Linked DNA regions of Saccharomyces cerevisiae S288C. Changing the gene in region 3 together with the main gene of any one other region gives a genetic interaction. Each region holds a gene or a part of one and is shown on either strand. Other genes may lie near its edges.

Region 1 (5,453 bases), on a different chromosome or scaffold from region 3:
TTTTTAAGAGAAGAAGGGATCAGTGCTGAAAATATCAAACAAAAATGGTACCAGCGACAGTCGAAGAAGCAAGAAGATGCAACAGACGAAAAAAAAGGTAAAGCGGAGGATGATAGCTTTACTGCCGAGATATCTCGAGTAGTTGAAGATGAAGAAATTGATGAAATTGGAACAGGTAGTGGTACCGAGACAGAAAGAGCTCAGGTTTCCTACGATGCCAGGATGAAATTAGTCCCTGCTGATAGTGATGAAGAAGAATATGAAACTAGCCACATTTCTGACACGCCAGTCAGTTTAAGTTCGGCTAATGACCGGGAATCATTGACTAAAAAAAGGCAAAATACTGCAAAAATTATCCAAAATCGTCGCAGAAAGCGTAAAAGAGCAGCTGACCTATTGGATAGACGCGTCAACAAAGTATCCAGCTTACAAAGTCTTTGTATTACGAAAATTAGTGAAAATATATCCAAGTGGCAAAAAGAGGCTGATGAATCATCAAAGTTGGTATTTAACAAATTGAGAGATGTCCTTGGTGGCGTATCAACCGCTAATTTGAATAATTTGGCAAAAGCACTATCGAAGAATAGGGCCCTGAATGATCATACTCTGCAACTTTTCTTGAAGACAGATCTAAAAAGGTTAACTTTCAGCGATTGTTCTAAAATTTCATTTGATGGTTACAAAACGCTAGCCATTTTTTCGCCACACCTAACCGAATTATCCCTACAAATGTGTGGGCAGTTGAACCATGAATCATTGCTTTACATTGCTGAAAAGCTTCCGAACTTGAAATCACTGAATTTAGATGGACCATTTCTGATCAACGAGGACACATGGGAGAAGTTCTTTGTAATAATGAAAGGTAGATTAGAAGAGTTCCACATTTCTAATACGCACCGCTTCACCGACAAATCATTATCTAATTTATTGATCAACTGCGGTTCTACCTTGGTATCCTTAGGGTTATCCAGACTAGATTCTATATCAAATTACGCTTTATTACCGCAGTACCTAGTCAACGACGAATTTCACAGTCTCTGTATTGAATATCCATTCAATGAAGAGGATGTTAACGATGAGATCATCATAAATCTGCTAGGTCAAATCGGGCGCACGTTACGTAAATTGGTTTTGAATGGCTGTATTGACTTGACAGATTCAATGATAATCAATGGTCTGACTGCATTCATTCCTGAGAAATGTCCATTGGAGGTATTGAGCTTGGAAGAATCAGATCAGATCACTACAGATTCACTGTCGTACTTTTTCAGCAAAGTAGAACTGAATAATTTGATTGAATGCAGCTTTAGAAGATGTCTACAATTGGGCGATATGGCAATTATAGAGCTATTGCTTAACGGAGCAAGAGATAGTCTGAGAAGCTTAAATCTCAATTCATTAAAAGAGCTAACTAAGGAGGCATTTGTGGCGTTAGCCTGTCCTAATCTGACGTATCTTGATCTTGGTTTTGTACGTTGTGTTGATGACTCGGTGATTCAAATGTTGGGTGAGCAAAATCCGAATTTAACTGTAATTGATGTTTTCGGAGACAATTTGGTTACTGAAAAGGCCACAATGAGGCCTGGACTTACGTTGATAGGGAGACAGAGTGACAGTATATAATAAAATAAAGACATATAAAACGTGTATTAGATAGAAAACGGAAAATTGACTAATGTTTTTATTCCTATTATACTCAGATCGTCAAATGTTGCCTTTATTTTCTATTGAAGGGATTTTATGGCATCTCGCGAATAATAAACAAACAATAATAGTAAAAAAAAAAGTGTAAACTTATGTATTCAGCGCAGATAAAAGGAAAAAAACGAGAAGTTTGACGTAAAGAAAAAAGTTCGAAAACTTTTGTAGCAGTTGAAAGTTTTGTATGCTATGTCAATTAGGCCTCTCACGTTAAACGGTTTAGATGAGCCAGAAACCTCTTTTGAAGAACTGAATACAACTCTACCTCGCTTTCAATCCCATGAAACATTAACTTTGGAAGAAAACGTGCCACCATTGAGTACATCAACTTATATACCGCCTCCATCCTCGGTAGGTACTTCTGACACTGGCACGGTATTTTCCAATAGTACCAGCGCGTTTTGGTCTAATAAGCAAGCAGACGATGATCAGGACATGGAGGTAGACCAGGATGATGAATTTCTAAATGACTTCCAGGAATTCCAAAATAAAAAGGATGATTTTGACGATGCTATTAAAACAAATTTTCATTTGAGAAATGGATGTCGAACTGGCCCTTTCAAAAACGACATTTTCGCAGAAGAGTTTGATAGAAAACTGAGTTTGGAAGATAAACCAAGGCTAAAGCAACCTAGATCAATGATGGAATTGAAACCAAAAAGAAAACTATCAAATAGCGTCACTTCAAGAAACTTAAGGTCTGGTAATTCTGTAAGATTTAAGAAATCTATGCCTAACTTAGCTTTAGTTAATCCAGCTATCAGAGAAGAAGAAGAGGACGAAGAACGAGAAAGAGAAGATCAACGAGAGTTTAATTACAAGATTGATAACGATACGCAGGACACAATTTTGGCGAAATTCAGTTCAGATGATGAAGGTGACTTTCTGACAGGATTTGAAGAATTAGAGGGTGAAGCAATTGATGAAACGATTTCTTCGAACGATAAAGAAAGTGCCGACCATCCGCGTTTCTTAAAGAAGTCATCCTCATCTTTGCCATTAAAAATATCACCTGCACAATATGATATAGTAAAGCATGACGAATTATTAACTCCAGGTCTTCATAGGCGACAACGAGATTGGAATACCCAGCAGGAACTGGACTCTTTTAAAGAAAAACGATCAGTAAGACACTGTTCTAATCAAAATGTACAACTCAATGGTCCAGCTAAAATCAAAACAATAAAACAGCAAATTGATCATAATACTCCAATGAAGAAAGGTTCTATGATATATAACCCGAAAACTATGAAGTGGGAAGGAAATGAAAACGTCTTAAGCAAATTTAGTGATGTAGACACGGCAAACAGGAAAGCTTTATTGATAAAAAACAAGCTACAACGAGATGCAGATTCTAAGAAGCAAAAATATTCTGATCTACAGCATGCAAGAGCCACTTCGAGAAATCAAAAGGTCATCGGGAACATGATTTTAGATGAACAAAATTTAAGATGGGTTAGTGTTTCAGAGGAAGAAGCAGACCCTTTTGCAGGCATTCCTGAGATAAACTTACCACCAGTTGGCAAAAGTATGAAAAAACGTAGCTCCTCACCATTTTTGCGTTCCAAAAGCCAAGTTAATACGCCATTTGTTTCAAATGACAATGATGGCGTTTATCAAAGTACGGCTGCTCAAGCAAGACTCCGTAAATACCATTCAATGAGGACACTTAACGGTACAACAGAAACTCCAGAAATAAGCTCTACTTTCCATTTGAGTTCAAGAGCATTGGAAAAATTTTACCACGAGGAGAACAGGTGGTGTAAAAAGTTAGCCTCATGGTTTATACCCCGAGATGAGACCATTATCAGTGTTGATGAGGAAACAATCATGGATGAAAGTACGGTCAATAGCAAGAGAAAATCCTATATGTATGAAATCAGGAACATGGTAATCAATTCGACAAAAGATTAGCCCTTTAGCCTTCTTATAACTGTTTCTTTACCGTTATCTTGAGTACATTCATTTCTCTTACATTCCAAAATTAGATAGAACCTTGAATCGTGTCAACTTTTCGCCGACATTTCGCGTCTGACAGAAAAAGAAATGTTGCAGAAAATTCGAATAGATGTTTCAAATGAAAATAGACCATGAGGGACACATTAACATTTCAAACAAAAGAGCCCTTGATGATTATTAAAACAGATCTTTATGGTTTGTTTAGCAAACACTTTGGTAATTTCATGAATATTTGACTAGCAGGAACAGAAAATCAAAAATGTTTAACCATGATTGGAAGTACTCCATTAATTCTAAGACTTTCGCCGATTTAAACATTGAATTATTTCGAAACCACAAGTTCAAAACTGTTTTAAATTACATAATAGGTGTAGTTGGGTGGAATGGATTAAAACTCGCCCTTTTTGTTTCTGACATTTACACATGTATCAAATTGCTGGCATTCAACTCCTGGTCAAACAACATCATCAAACCATACTTACCCTTTAAAATATCCAAATGGTTGTTTAGCGGTTGTATTTTAGCATCGATTGTGCTATTGATATGGGAGGCTATAGCGGGAATGAGGATTTACAAAACGGGAAATATCTCTTTGACTTATGTCAACAATTTTTCCAGAAACCTAAATTCAGTGCTCAATTATTCCAAGTTTTGTGTTTATAATATGATCGAACGAAAGGGTTTTCGACAGAAAATGACATTTTTTACTTTTTTTCAACTGAAAGATTGTATTAGATTAATCTTCACGGATACCCCAAGGCAAGTTATTAATGGTCTTACGCTGTGGTCAGTTCTCGTAACAGTAAATAAAAACGAGGATCTAGGCGATCTGGAATCATTTACCGGTTTGATCAACAAAATAAAGAACATTGGCCAGACCAATCATGAAGAAGCAGTGATATTGTCGCTGATGCTATTTTCCTTTATAATCTGGGCATTATTTGTCTTCAAGTTTCTGCTTGCTGTCATTTGCTCGATTTTTGTTTATTATAAAATAATCAATGATCAGGAATATAGCGGGTTGCGTGAGTACATTTGTGTTACCGTCAGCGAAAATGTTGATGAACTTGTTGAAAGACAAAGGAAAAAGGAAAATGATGACACGATTTATAAGACAGGTCTTCTCGAATCTCAGACTTTTGACGATTTTAAAGAAGTTGAAAATAAAATTGAAACATCTTTTAATGATACGTCATATGCTTCTAATAATGATTCTATGATTGAGCTAATAGAGAGAAGACCCGAATACAAAAGTCAGGATGTATGTGGGCCCATTCCCACAATGAAGAAAACGGAAACAATGGAATCGTTCGTTGACAATGGCAATCCACAATATACCACTAGATTCTCTGCGATTCTAGATTCACCATATATCAACAGCTATGAAAGTAATGATATAAAGAAAGCAAAAATACAAAGCAGAAGCGTAAATACTCCAAAATATGAGGATTTGTCTTCTTCTGACATTTTCAACAAAATACACTCTGCTGGACAATTAAAATCTACAACTTCTATGGAGTTTCACGGGCCATTAGATTCTATGCCAAATACAACAAACAACATCCGTAATTTTAATAGCAACAGTAGTAGACCTAGACCACCTCCTTTACAGACAAAAAGTTCGATTAATTCAAAAGCTGACTCGAATGATAATGGAAGGATTTATACACCAATGAAAGCGTACTTCAGGGAGCCTGATCTTCCGAGGAAGGGTTTGCTGGAAGATGAAGATCGTACATATAATTATACTTAATAGGCTGGCAAAAGCCCTTTGCATATTTCATGAATTAGAT
Region 2 (5,719 bases), on a different chromosome or scaffold from region 3:
AGTGAGCGTGTTGTTGCACGCCTAAGGGCAAATGTCATTAAAAAAACGCTTCATCAAGACGCAGAATTCTTCGACAACCATAAAGTTGGGGATTTAATTTCTCGTTTAGGATCTGATGCTTATGTTGTTTCAAGATCAATGACCCAGAAGGTCTCGGATGGGGTCAAAGCCCTAATTTGTGGGGTTGTTGGCGTGGGGATGATGTGTTCTTTGTCACCTCAACTATCAATATTGTTACTATTCTTCACTCCACCTGTTCTTTTTAGTGCCTCAGTGTTCGGGAAGCAAATTAGAAACACCTCTAAAGACCTTCAAGAAGCTACTGGTCAATTGACTAGAGTCGCTGAAGAACAACTCTCTGGTATCAAGACGGTTCAGTCGTTTGTTGCTGAAGGTAATGAATTGTCTAGGTATAACGTTGCAATTAGAGATATTTTTCAGGTGGGAAAAACTGCGGCATTTACAAACGCAAAGTTTTTTACTACAACTAGTCTCTTAGGTGACCTAAGTTTTTTAACCGTCCTTGCGTATGGCTCCTATCTTGTTTTACAATCACAGCTCTCCATTGGTGATCTGACTGCATTTATGCTGTACACAGAATATACGGGGAATGCGGTATTCGGCCTTTCTACCTTCTATTCGGAAATTATGCAGGGTGCTGGGGCCGCTTCCAGGTTGTTTGAATTAACAGATAGGAAACCTTCCATTTCACCGACTGTGGGACACAAGTATAAACCAGATCGTGGTGTTATCGAATTTAAAGATGTTTCATTTAGCTACCCTACAAGGCCTTCTGTTCAAATATTCAAGAATTTAAATTTTAAAATTGCGCCAGGATCGAGTGTTTGTATTGTGGGCCCTTCAGGTCGTGGTAAATCTACAATTGCACTCTTACTGCTAAGATATTATAATCCCACTACTGGGACTATTACGATAGATAACCAAGATATCTCTAAATTGAATTGTAAATCCCTAAGAAGGCATATTGGTATCGTTCAGCAAGAGCCGGTACTGATGTCAGGTACTATTAGGGATAATATCACTTATGGGTTGACATATACCCCAACAAAGGAAGAAATCAGGTCAGTAGCAAAGCAGTGCTTTTGCCATAACTTTATCACAAAATTTCCGAACACATACGATACGGTAATTGGTCCTCACGGCACCTTACTAAGTGGAGGACAAAAGCAGCGTATTGCGATTGCAAGGGCTCTAATCAAAAAGCCAACTATTTTGATTCTTGATGAAGCTACATCAGCTTTAGATGTTGAAAGTGAAGGAGCCATTAACTATACGTTTGGTCAACTAATGAAATCAAAATCGATGACTATTGTTAGCATCGCGCACAGGCTAAGTACGATCAGAAGATCAGAGAATGTTATTGTCCTTGGCCATGATGGATCAGTGGTAGAAATGGGCAAATTCAAAGAATTGTATGCGAATCCAACAAGTGCTTTATCGCAATTACTTAATGAGAAAGCGGCTCCTGGGCCATCTGACCAACAACTGCAAATAGAGAAGGTCATCGAAAAGGAAGATTTGAATGAGAGTAAGGAGCATGATGACCAGAAAAAGGACGATAATGACGATAATGATAATAATCATGATAACGACAGCAATAACCAGTCTCCAGAGACGAAAGACAATAATTCAGATGATATTGAAAAATCTGTCGAACATCTCCTGAAAGACGCGGCAAAGGAGGCTAATCCAATTAAGATCACACCACAACCGTGAGTCATCCGCATCGCATATACCCATTCTTATCTCGCACATTTAAATATATACTATATATAATACTGTTAAATGCCAAATAAAAAGGATTTTCATTACCCGAATCGATACTTTTGGTAGCATAAACAAATAACATTGAAACAATAACAAAGTGTAATGTGGCCGCACGAATCTTTGTCTGTAACAGCCTTAAAGATTTCAGTAGCACTGCCATGGATAATGATGGACCCAGATCTATGACCATTGGGGATGACTTCCAAGAGAACTTTTGTGAACGTTTAGAAAGAATTCACAATACATTACATTCAATAAACGATTGCAACTCATTGAATGAGAGTACCACAAGTATATCAGAGACATTGTTAGTTCAATTTTATGATGATTTGGAGAACGTTGCCTCGGTAATTCCCGACTTAGTCAACAAGAAAAGACTGGGAAAAGACGATATTTTGTTGTTTATGGACTGGTTATTATTGAAAAAATATATGCTATATCAATTTATTAGTGACGTTCATAATATTGAGGAAGGTTTTGCTCATTTGTTGGATTTACTAGAGGATGAATTCTCGAAGGACGATCAGGATAGCGACAAATACAATCGATTTAGCCCGATGTTTGACGTCATAGAAGAATCTACACAAATTAAGACTCAGTTGGAGCCATGGCTTACTAACTTGAAGGAATTATTGGATACGTCATTGGAATTTAACGAAATTTCAAAGGATCATATGGATACATTACATAAAATCATTAATAGCAATATATCGTATTGTCTGGAAATTCAGGAAGAAAGGTTCGCGTCCCCGATACGGCATACTCCATCATTTACCCTAGAACAACTAGTCAAGTTATTAGGAACGCATACGGAGACAACTGAGCCAAAGGTACCAAAATTTTCTCCGGCAGAAGATATTTTATCAAGAAAGTTCTTGAACCTAAAAAAAAATATCCCTCCAATTGAAAAAAGTTTGACTGATATCCTACCTCAAAGAATTGTGCAATTTGGGCACCGGAATATAACAAACATAACTACTTTGCAAACAATCTTGCAAAAAAAATACGAGCTGATAATGAAAGATTATAGATTTATGAATTCAGAGTTTAGGGAATTGAAAGTCGAACTAATCGACAAACGTTGGAATATACTCTTTATTAATTTAAATCATGAACTATTATACATTCTTGATGAGATAGAAAGGTTGCAGTCGAAATTACTGACAACAAAGTATACCAAAGATATCACTATAAGGCTCGAGAGGCAATTGGAGAGAAAATCAAAAACTGTTTCTAAGACATTCAATATTATTTACAGAGCATTGGAATTCTCACTTTTGGACGCTGGCGTCGCATCGAAGACAAATGAATTAGCTCAAAGATGGCTGAATATCAAGCCTACAGCGGATAAAATTCTAATCAAATCCTCCGCTTCAAACAAAATAGCTACTAGCAAGAAGAAGATTCCAAAACCGAAATCATTAGGCTTTGGGCGACCGAATAGTGTTATTGGAACTATAACCCAGGATTTCCAGGAGAGAGTCGCCATTAATGAAGGTGACAGTAATAAAACACCGGAAAATTCAACTACAGTGGCTTTGAAAGGTAAAAAGCTTGGTAAAGCGTTACTGCAGAAGATGAATATTAAACCTGCAACAAGCCCAAATTCATCAAATGCGATTAATCCATTTTTTGATCCGGAGTCGCCAAACAAAGGAAAACTGATACTAAGTAGTGTTCCTCCCTTACCTTATGACGAAACCGATGAAACCACCCTCCGTGTTTCTCGTGGGGAAAATGAAAAGTCACCAGACTCCTTCATTACATCTCGGCATGAAAATAAAGTACAGATTACAGAAACTCCTTTGATGGCAAAGAATAAGTCTGTGCTTGACATCGAAAAAGATAAATGGAATCATTACCGGTCCTTGCCCTCTAGGATCCCTATATACAAGGATAAAGTGGTGAAAGTCACCGTAGAAAACACACCGATAGCAAAGGTTTTCCAGACTCCGCCAACAAAAATCACGACACCTAATAGTCAAGTTTGGGTCCCTTCGACAAGAAGAAGAACCCGATTGAGGCCTCCCACCCCCTTATCACAGTTACTTTCACCAAGAGAAGGGCGTTTAGATAAAACCCCAACTTATTGATACTAACCTAAAACTGTATACTTATACATTTTTATATATCCTCCCTCTCACCCTCTCCATTCATAGAATTTGTAATACTAGTTTAAATAATGTAATATTATGTGTAATTTTAAATAGTCCATGAAGATTCCGCACGTTTTCATTTTACAGTTTTTGACACCTTTACCCGACGCTTTATAAAAAAAATAGTATAAGCATCACGACATAAGCAGCCTCAGGTCATTAAAACAATAAAAGACTGGGAATTATAAACGTACAACGGTAAGGTCATTCACGCAGTGTATATGAATGACTGAAAGTGCTATAGATGACCAAAGGTTTAATCTTACAAAGGAGTTACAACGACACTCATGCAGAGATCAAGGGAAAATAACACAAAAGGATGATGCTTTAGATTTTATAAGTTACAGTTCTTTTCAATCCTCTTTTAATACTGACCAAAAAAGCGCGAACAATGGAAGTACTGTGAGAAGAAGCATAAGGTCGATTTTTAGAAGAGCAGCCGAATTGCCTAGAGTCCATATGGGGCCTCTTACTTATTCACATGGGATAAATGAGCTTGTTAACAAGAAATTAAGAAAAGACTGTGATCTCAGCACGCTATGTCGCGTATTGCAAAGAGGAATCAGGATGATTAGGATGACAAGAAGAAGAAGGAAGTTCTATGAATTTAAATTAATCAATAACAACGGGCAAATAATATGGAAAGATGGTTCGAAGTATCTGGAATTAGACTCCGTTAAAGACATCAGAATCGGTGATACGGCGAGTACTTATCAAGAGGAAGTAGATCCGAAAAGATTGAGATCGGACAGTAAACTTTGGATTGCTATTATTTATAAGGTTTCCAACAAATTGAAAGCGTTACACGTAGTTGCTTTGAATGAATTGGACTTTAACACATTCTTAAGCTGCATTTGCGGTTTAGTGAAGTTAAGGAGGGAATTAATGGAAAGCATACTTTTGCCTGATAATTCGCAATTCGCTAGGATACATTGGCAAATTACTGTTTCTGAAAAAGAGGAAGATGAGAAAAAGGACACATTGAGCTTTGCAGATGTGAAGAAACTATGTGATAAATTTCATATTTATGTGTCAACTGGTCAATTGTTAGAGTTTTTCCAATTAGCAGACATCAATCATAACGGACTATTAAATTATTTTGAATTTGAAAAGTTCATTAAAATCTTAAAGAATAGGAAAGAGGTAAATATGATTTGGTCTAAATTTACAAAACCTCCACACTCCCACTTATCATTTGAAAATTTTTTTCAATTTTTAATTACAGAGCAGCATGAGCAAGTGGATCGTCAAACTGCATGGTCATATTTTATTAAGTACAGAGAACCGACTCAGCTGACGATGGGGCAAGATGGTTTTACCAAGTTCTTGAAGGAGCAACCATATTTGGTGGAGGTTAAAGAGGAGTTATATTCAAAGCCATTAAACCATTATTTTATTGCATCTTCACATAATACTTATTTATTGGGGAAACAAATTGCAGAAACTCCATCTGTGGAGGGATATATTCAAGTCCTACAACAAGGTTGTAGGTGCGTAGAAATTGATATATGGGATGGTGAAAATGGGCCAGTGGTATGCCATGGATTTTTAACGTCAGCTATTCCCTTAAAAACAGTTATACGCGTGATAAAGAAGTACGCTTTTATAACGTCTCCGTATCCTTTGATTATTTCACTGGAAATAAACTGTAACAAGGATAATCAAAAATTGGCAAGCCTGATAATGAGAGAGGTTTTAGCAGAACAGCTGTACTTTGTTGGCACAAGAACTGATAAACTGCCATCACCAAGGGAATTAAAACATAAAATACTGTT
Region 3 (7,348 bases):
CATCTAGCAATCTATGATCATAAGTCAAAGCCAAGTACATCATTGGTCTTGAGACAATTTGTCCATTAACAGTGACAGGTCTCTCTTTGACACCATGCAAGCCTAGGACGGCTGTTTGTGGTGAATTGATGATAGGAGTACCGTATAATGAACCAAAAACACCACCATTAGATATGGTGAAAGTACCACCCGTCATATCTTCTAGGGTTAATTTGCCATCACGCGCTTTATGACTCAAGCGAACAATTTCGTTCTCAATATCTAAAACACTCAATGACTCTGCATTACGAACGACGGGGGTAACCAAACCCTTTGGAGTGGCCACAGCAACAGAAATATCTGTGTAATCACGATAAACAATCTGGTCACCTTCAATGGCACCATTGACGGCTGGAATATCCTTGGCGGCCAAGGTACATGCTTTGGAGAAAAGACCCATGAATCCGAATTTAGTACCGGTCTTCTTAATAATCTCATCTTTATACAGTTTCCTCATTTCCATCAAAGCTGACATGTCAACTTCGTTGAATGTGGTTAAGGAAGCAGCAGTGTTTTGAGACTCTTTTAATCTTTCGGCAATCCTCAATCTCATACGGTTCATTTTGACCCTGGTTTCTGTACGTGGAAATGGTGTGAAAGAGTTAGAGGCTACTGGGGGTTCCTGCGCCTTAGAGACGGTCTTCTTTGGTTGATCAGCCTTTTTTGGTTCTGTAACTTCTTTCTTTGGAGCGGCTTCTTTCTTTGGAGCAGCTTCTTTCTTTGAAGCCGTTTCCTCACTTGAGTTTTCCCTTGCGGCGACACCTTGCGATGGCTCCGCTTGTTCGGTAGGCTCTGGCTTAGATTCTCCAGAACCCTCAGCAGGTGCTTCACCAGGCTCGACCTGAGCTAACTCCTCACCAACAGTGACAGTGTCCTCTGGTTTGAAATTTAGCTTCGTAACAGTACCTGATACTGGCGAATTGACCTCAATATCAATTTTATCGGTCTCAATAGTGGCCAACAGCTCGTCCTCCTTAATAAAATCACCAACGTTTTTAGTATATTCCTTTAAAGAGCCTTCAGTCAGGGACTCTGCCATCGGAGGAACTTCAATAGAGGTAGATTTAAAACGATTGCTAGTTATGGAGAACGGATTCGCCGCAACTGAAATTTTCTTGCCGGATAAATATATTGAACCTAAGGATTCGACCTTGTTAGCTTGTTTGAACAAACTTGTAGAAGCATGTCTCTTGACGAAAGAAGCAGCCATAACATTTCTAGCCACTTTAGATTTTACTAAGGATTTGGCAGCTGCAGTACGCGTCGCTCTGGAAAGCATTGTTTAAATAATTATCTGAAGTTGTGTCTTTGGTTGTAACAAATGTGGTAGTGAAGTTTATAACAATATATCTATTCACTGATATATACCGTTAAAGATAGCTGCCTAATTTTTTATTTCGGATTTTTCTTTTTTTTACGTTAGATATTTCCTCCCCTGAAGCTCAAAAAGAGATTATATATGAAAAGTAGGCCTAGTTGAGGGAAAAAGGATTTGCATTTGCTGATAGACCAAGTGTGGATCCGAGCCCTGTAGTAGAATGGTGCTAATGTAGAATAAGAATAAGCTTTAGGAACCATAGATTCCTGCGTAATTTGTGGCCGCTTTATTGGCTCACTCCGGGCAGGACCTTAGTTTTGATTGGCTGCAAAAAAAGGGTTGTTAATATCGTCTTTGACGGAGATGCGGGTGGCTGGAATTGTTTTGTTTATTATTCCCCAAGAGAGAAGAGACAAGAAGTAGTAATGACGATGGAACAAAGATCGGTTCTAATAGGACCACAGGGTTGAATAGAGACGAGTAAAGACGCAACGGTCAAGGCTTTCCACGAGACGTTCGAATATGTCCCACAACAACAGGCATAAAAAGAATAACGATAAAGACAGCTCAGCAGGGCAGTATGCAAATAGCATTGACAATTCATTAAGCCAGGAAAGCGTCTCAACGAACGGCGTAACAAGGATGGCTAACTTAAAGGCTGATGAATGCGGCAGTGGTGATGAAGGAGATAAAACAAAGCGGTTTTCGATTTCAAGTATTTTGAGTAAAAGAGAGACAAAAGACGTGCTTCCGGAATTTGCAGGCAGTAGTTCCCACAATGGAGTACTCACGGCGAATTCATCAAAGGATATGAACTTTACTTTGGAACTAAGCGAGAATTTGTTGGTTGAGTGTAGGAAATTGCAATCCTCTAATGAAGCTAAAAATGAGCAAATCAAGTCTCTCAAGCAAATTAAAGAGTCATTAAGTGACAAGATTGAGGAGCTCACTAACCAAAAAAAGTCCTTCATGAAAGAGTTGGATTCAACTAAAGATTTAAACTGGGATTTAGAATCTAAATTAACAAACTTGAGCATGGAATGTAGGCAATTAAAAGAATTGAAGAAAAAGACTGAAAAATCTTGGAATGATGAAAAAGAAAGCCTGAAACTTCTGAAAACAGATTTGGAAATTTTAACATTAACAAAAAATGGCATGGAAAATGATCTTAGCTCTCAAAAACTTCATTACGATAAAGAGATTAGTGAATTAAAGGAAAGGATTTTAGACTTAAATAATGAAAACGACAGATTACTTATTAGTGTTTCTGATCTAACAAGTGAAATTAATTCCTTACAGAGCAATAGAACTGAAAGAATAAAAATTCAAAAGCAACTTGATGACGCCAAAGCATCTATTTCTTCGTTAAAAAGAAAAGTACAAAAGAAGTATTATCAAAAACAGCATACTTCCGATACTACAGTAACATCTGATCCTGATTCTGAGGGGACCACTAGTGAAGAAGACATTTTTGATATAGTGATCGAAATTGACCACATGATTGAAACAGGCCCCTCTGTCGAGGACATTTCTGAAGATCTTGTCAAGAAATACTCAGAAAAAAACAATATGATATTGTTATCGAATGATTCATATAAAAACTTACTACAAAAAAGTGAAAGTGCATCCAAACCAAAAGACGATGAATTAATGACCAAAGAGGTGGCTGAAAACCTGAATATGATCGCGTTACCAAATGATGACAATTACAGCAAAAAAGAGTTTTCGTTAGAATCTCATATTAAATATTTAGAAGCTTCTGGCTATAAAGTTCTTCCTCTAGAGGAGTTTGAGAACCTAAACGAATCCCTATCAAATCCATCATATAACTATCTCAAGGAAAAACTTCAGGCTTTGAAAAAGATACCCATCGATCAAAGTACGTTTAACTTGTTAAAAGAGCCTACTATTGATTTTTTACTGCCTTTAACATCCAAAATTGATTGCCTGATAATACCTACCAAAGATTATAATGACCTTTTTGAGAGTGTCAAGAATCCATCAATTGAACAAATGAAAAAATGCCTGGAAGCAAAGAACGACTTACAATCGAATATTTGTAAATGGCTGGAGGAGAGAAACGGCTGTAAATGGCTAAGTAATGATCTGTATTTTTCAATGGTTAATAAGATAGAAACACCTTCGAAACAATACCTGTCAGATAAGGCAAAAGAATACGACCAAGTGCTGATTGATACTAAAGCCTTAGAAGGTTTAAAGAACCCAACGATAGACTTTCTAAGAGAAAAAGCTTCTGCATCAGATTATTTATTACTCAAAAAAGAAGACTACGTGAGCCCATCACTGGAATACCTAGTTGAACATGCCAAGGCCACCAATCACCATTTACTATCGGATAGTGCATACGAAGACCTAGTCAAGTGCAAGGAGAATCCTGATATGGAATTCTTGAAGGAGAAGTCTGCCAAACTAGGCCACACTGTGGTATCCAACGAGGCATATTCTGAATTGGAAAAGAAACTAGAACAACCATCACTGGAATACCTAGTTGAACATGCCAAGGCGACCAATCACCATTTACTATCGGATAGTGCATACGAAGACCTAGTCAAGTGCAAGGAGAATCCTGATATGGAATTCTTGAAGGAGAAGTCTGCCAAACTAGGCCATACTGTGGTATCCAACGAGGCATATTCTGAATTGCAACGCAAATACTCAGAATTGGAGAAGGAAGTAGAACAACCATCTCTAGCATACTTAGTTGAACACGCCAAGGCTACCGATCACCATTTACTATCGGATAGTGCATACGAAGACCTAGTCAAGTGCAAGGAGAATCCTGATGTGGAATTCTTGAAGGAGAAGTCTGCTAAACTAGGCCATACTGTGGTATCTAGCGAGGAATATTCTGAATTGCAACGCAAATACTCAGAATTGGAGAAGGAAGTAGAACAACCATCACTAGCATACCTAGTCGAACACGCCAAGGCTACCGATCACCATTTACTATCGGATAGTGCATACGAAGAACTAGTCAAGTGCAAGGAGAATCCTGATATGGAATTCTTGAAGGAGAAGTCTGCCAAACTAGGCCACACTGTGGTATCCAACGAGGCATATTCTGAATTGGAAAAGAAACTAGAACAACCATCACTAGCATACCTAGTCGAACATGCCAAGGCTACCGATCACCATCTGCTATCGGATAGTGCATACGAAGACCTAGTCAAGTGCAAGGAAAATTCTGATGTAGAATTCTTGAAGGAGAAGTCTGCTAAACTAGGCCATACTGTGGTATCCAACGAAGCATATTCTGAATTGGAAAAGAAACTAGAACAACCATCACTAGCATACCTAGTCGAACATGCCAAGGCTACCGATCACCATCTGCTATCGGATAGTGCATACGAAGACCTAGTCAAGTGCAAGGAGAATCCTGATATGGAATTCTTGAAGGAGAAGTCTGCCAAACTAGGCCACACTGTGGTATCCAACGAGGCATATTCTGAATTGGAAAAGAAACTAGAACAACCATCACTGGAATACCTAGTTGAACATGCCAAGGCCACCAATCACCATTTACTATCGGATAGTGCATACGAAGACCTAGTCAAGTGCAAGGAGAATCCTGATATGGAATTCTTGAAGGAGAAGTCTGCCAAACTAGGCCACACTGTGGTATCCAACGAGGCATATTCTGAATTGGAAAAGAAACTAGAACAACCATCACTGGAATACCTAGTTGAACATGCCAAGGCCACCAATCACCATCTGCTATCGGATAGTGCATACGAAGAACTAGTCAAGTGCAAGGAAAATCCTGATGTAGAATTCTTGAAGGAGAAGTCTGCTAAACTAGGCCATACTGTGGTATCCAACGAAGCATATTCTGAATTGGAAAAGAAACTAGAACAACCATCACTGGAATACCTAGTTGAACATGCCAAGGCCACCAATCACCATCTGCTATCGGATAGTGCATACGAAGAACTAGTCAAGTGCAAGGAAAATCCTGATGTAGAATTCTTGAAGGAGAAGTCTGCTAAACTAGGCCATACTGTGGTATCCAACGAAGCATATTCTGAATTGGAAAAGAAACTAGAACAACCATCACTAGCATACCTAGTCGAACATGCCAAGGCTACCGATCACCATCTGCTATCGGATAGTGCATACGAAGACCTAGTCAAGTGCAAGGAAAATCCTGATGTAGAATTCTTGAAGGAGAAGTCTGCTAAACTAGGCCATACTGTGGTATCCAACGAAGCATATTCTGAATTGGAAAAGAAACTAGAACAACCATCACTAGCATACCTAGTCGAACATGCCAAGGCTACCGATCACCATCTGCTATCGGATAGTGCATACGAAGACCTAGTCAAGTGCAAGGAGAATCCTGATATGGAATTCTTGAAGGAGAAGTCTGCCAAACTAGGCCACACTGTGGTATCCAACGAGGCATATTCTGAATTGGAAAAGAAACTAGAACAACCATCACTGGAATACCTAGTTGAACATGCCAAGGCCACCAATCACCATCTGCTATCGGATAGTGCATACGAAGACCTAGTCAAGTGCAAGGAGAATCCTGATATGGAATTCTTGAAGGAGAAGTCTGCTAAACTGGGCCATACTGTGGTATCCAACAAGGAATATTCTGAATTGGAAAAGAAACTAGAACAACCATCACTGGAATACTTAGTCAAACATGCCGAACAAATACAATCAAAAATTATATCGATCTCGGACTTCAACACCTTAGCTAATCCATCTATGGAAGATATGGCTTCAAAATTGCAAAAGTTAGAATACCAGATTGTTTCGAACGATGAGTACATTGCATTGAAAAATACGATGGAAAAGCCGGACGTTGAGTTACTAAGATCCAAGTTGAAAGGTTACCATATAATTGATACAACAACGTACAATGAGCTAGTCAGCAATTTCAATTCTCCTACGTTGAAGTTTATTGAAGAGAAAGCCAAAAGCAAAGGTTATAGATTAATAGAACCTAATGAATACCTTGACTTGAATAGGATAGCCACTACACCTTCTAAAGAAGAGATTGATAACTTCTGCAAACAAATTGGGTGTTACGCTTTGGACTCTAAAGAATATGAAAGACTAAAAAATTCTCTGGAGAATCCCTCCAAGAAATTTATAGAAGAAAATGCCGCATTACTTGATCTTGTGCTAGTGGACAAAACGGAGTACCAAGCAATGAAAGATAATGCAAGCAACAAGAAATCACTTATTCCTTCAACCAAGGCACTTGATTTCGTTACAATGCCTGCCCCACAGCTTGCTTCTGCAGAGAAGTCATCACTACAAAAAAGAACTTTATCTGATATTGAAAATGAGTTAAAGGCCTTAGGCTACGTCGCAATTCGTAAAGAAAACCTGCCAAACCTAGAGAAACCAATTGTTGACAATGCCTCCAAAAATGATGTCTTGAACCTATGTTCGAAATTCAGTTTAGTACCATTGTCTACTGAAGAATATGATAATATGAGAAAGGAACACACTAAAATCTTAAATATTCTCGGTGATCCATCTATTGATTTCCTGAAGGAAAAATGTGAAAAATATCAAATGCTCATAATTAGTAAACATGATTACGAAGAAAAGCAAGAAGCCATTGAAAATCCAGGCTACGAATTTATTTTAGAAAAAGCATCAGCACTGGGATATGAATTAGTTAGCGAGGTTGAGCTGGATCGCATGAAACAAATGATTGATTCACCAGATATTGACTACATGCAAGAAAAGGCTGCCCGCAATGAAATGGTGTTGTTGAGGAACGAGGAGAAGGAAGCATTGCAAAAGAAAATAGAATATCCCTCTTTAACATTTTTAATCGAAAAGGCTGCTGGAATGAACAAAATACTTGTTGACCAAATCGAGTATGATGAAACTATAAGAAAATGCAATCATCCCACTCGGATGGAGCTAGAGGAATCCTGTCATCACTTGAACTTGGTTTTGCTCGACCAAAACGAGTACTCAACTCTAAGAGAACCTTTGGAAAAT

The links. A genetic interaction does not mean that the proteins touch.
Region 1: mutations in NUM1 (region 3) and BFA1 together harm fitness more than expected from each alone (negative genetic interaction), as found in Saccharomyces cerevisiae (5 studies listed by BioGRID, with this or other methods).
Region 2: mutations in NUM1 (region 3) and KAR9 impair growth when combined (synthetic growth defect), as found in Saccharomyces cerevisiae (12 studies listed by BioGRID, with this or other methods).

What each region holds. Positions count from the first base shown.
Region 1 is NC_001142.9:532,137-537,589, forward strand, and holds BFA1 (Bfa1p), read left to right. Parts: upstream 1-1,890; coding exon 1,891-3,615; downstream 3,616-5,453. Other genes in the region: UV-damaged DNA-binding protein RAD7, read left to right, coding at 1-1,623; KCH1 (Kch1p), read left to right, coding at 3,920-5,413. UniProt on the Saccharomyces cerevisiae protein: Part of a checkpoint which monitors spindle integrity and prevents premature exit from mitosis. This cell-cycle arrest depends upon inhibition of the G-protein TEM1 by the BFA1/BUB2 complex.
Region 2 is NC_001148.4:31,067-36,785, forward strand, and holds KAR9 (Kar9p), read left to right. Parts: upstream 1-1,946; coding exon 1,947-3,881; downstream 3,882-5,719. Other genes in the region: ATP-binding cassette permease MDL2, read left to right, coding at 1-1,737; PLC1 (phosphatidylinositol phospholipase C), read left to right, coding at 4,170-5,719. UniProt on the Saccharomyces cerevisiae protein: Involved in karyogamy. Component of a cortical adaptor complex that orients cytoplasmic microtubules. It may be involved in anchoring cytoplasmic microtubules to the cell cortex.
Region 3 is NC_001136.10:753,749-761,096, forward strand, and holds the start of NUM1 (Num1p), read left to right. Parts: upstream 1-1,879; coding exon 1,880-7,348. Other genes in the region: KGD2 (dihydrolipoyl transsuccinylase), read right to left, coding at 1-1,318. UniProt on the Saccharomyces cerevisiae protein: Controls nuclear migration. NUM1 specifically controls the interaction of the bud neck cytoskeleton with the pre-divisional G2 nucleus. Functions in dynein-anchoring.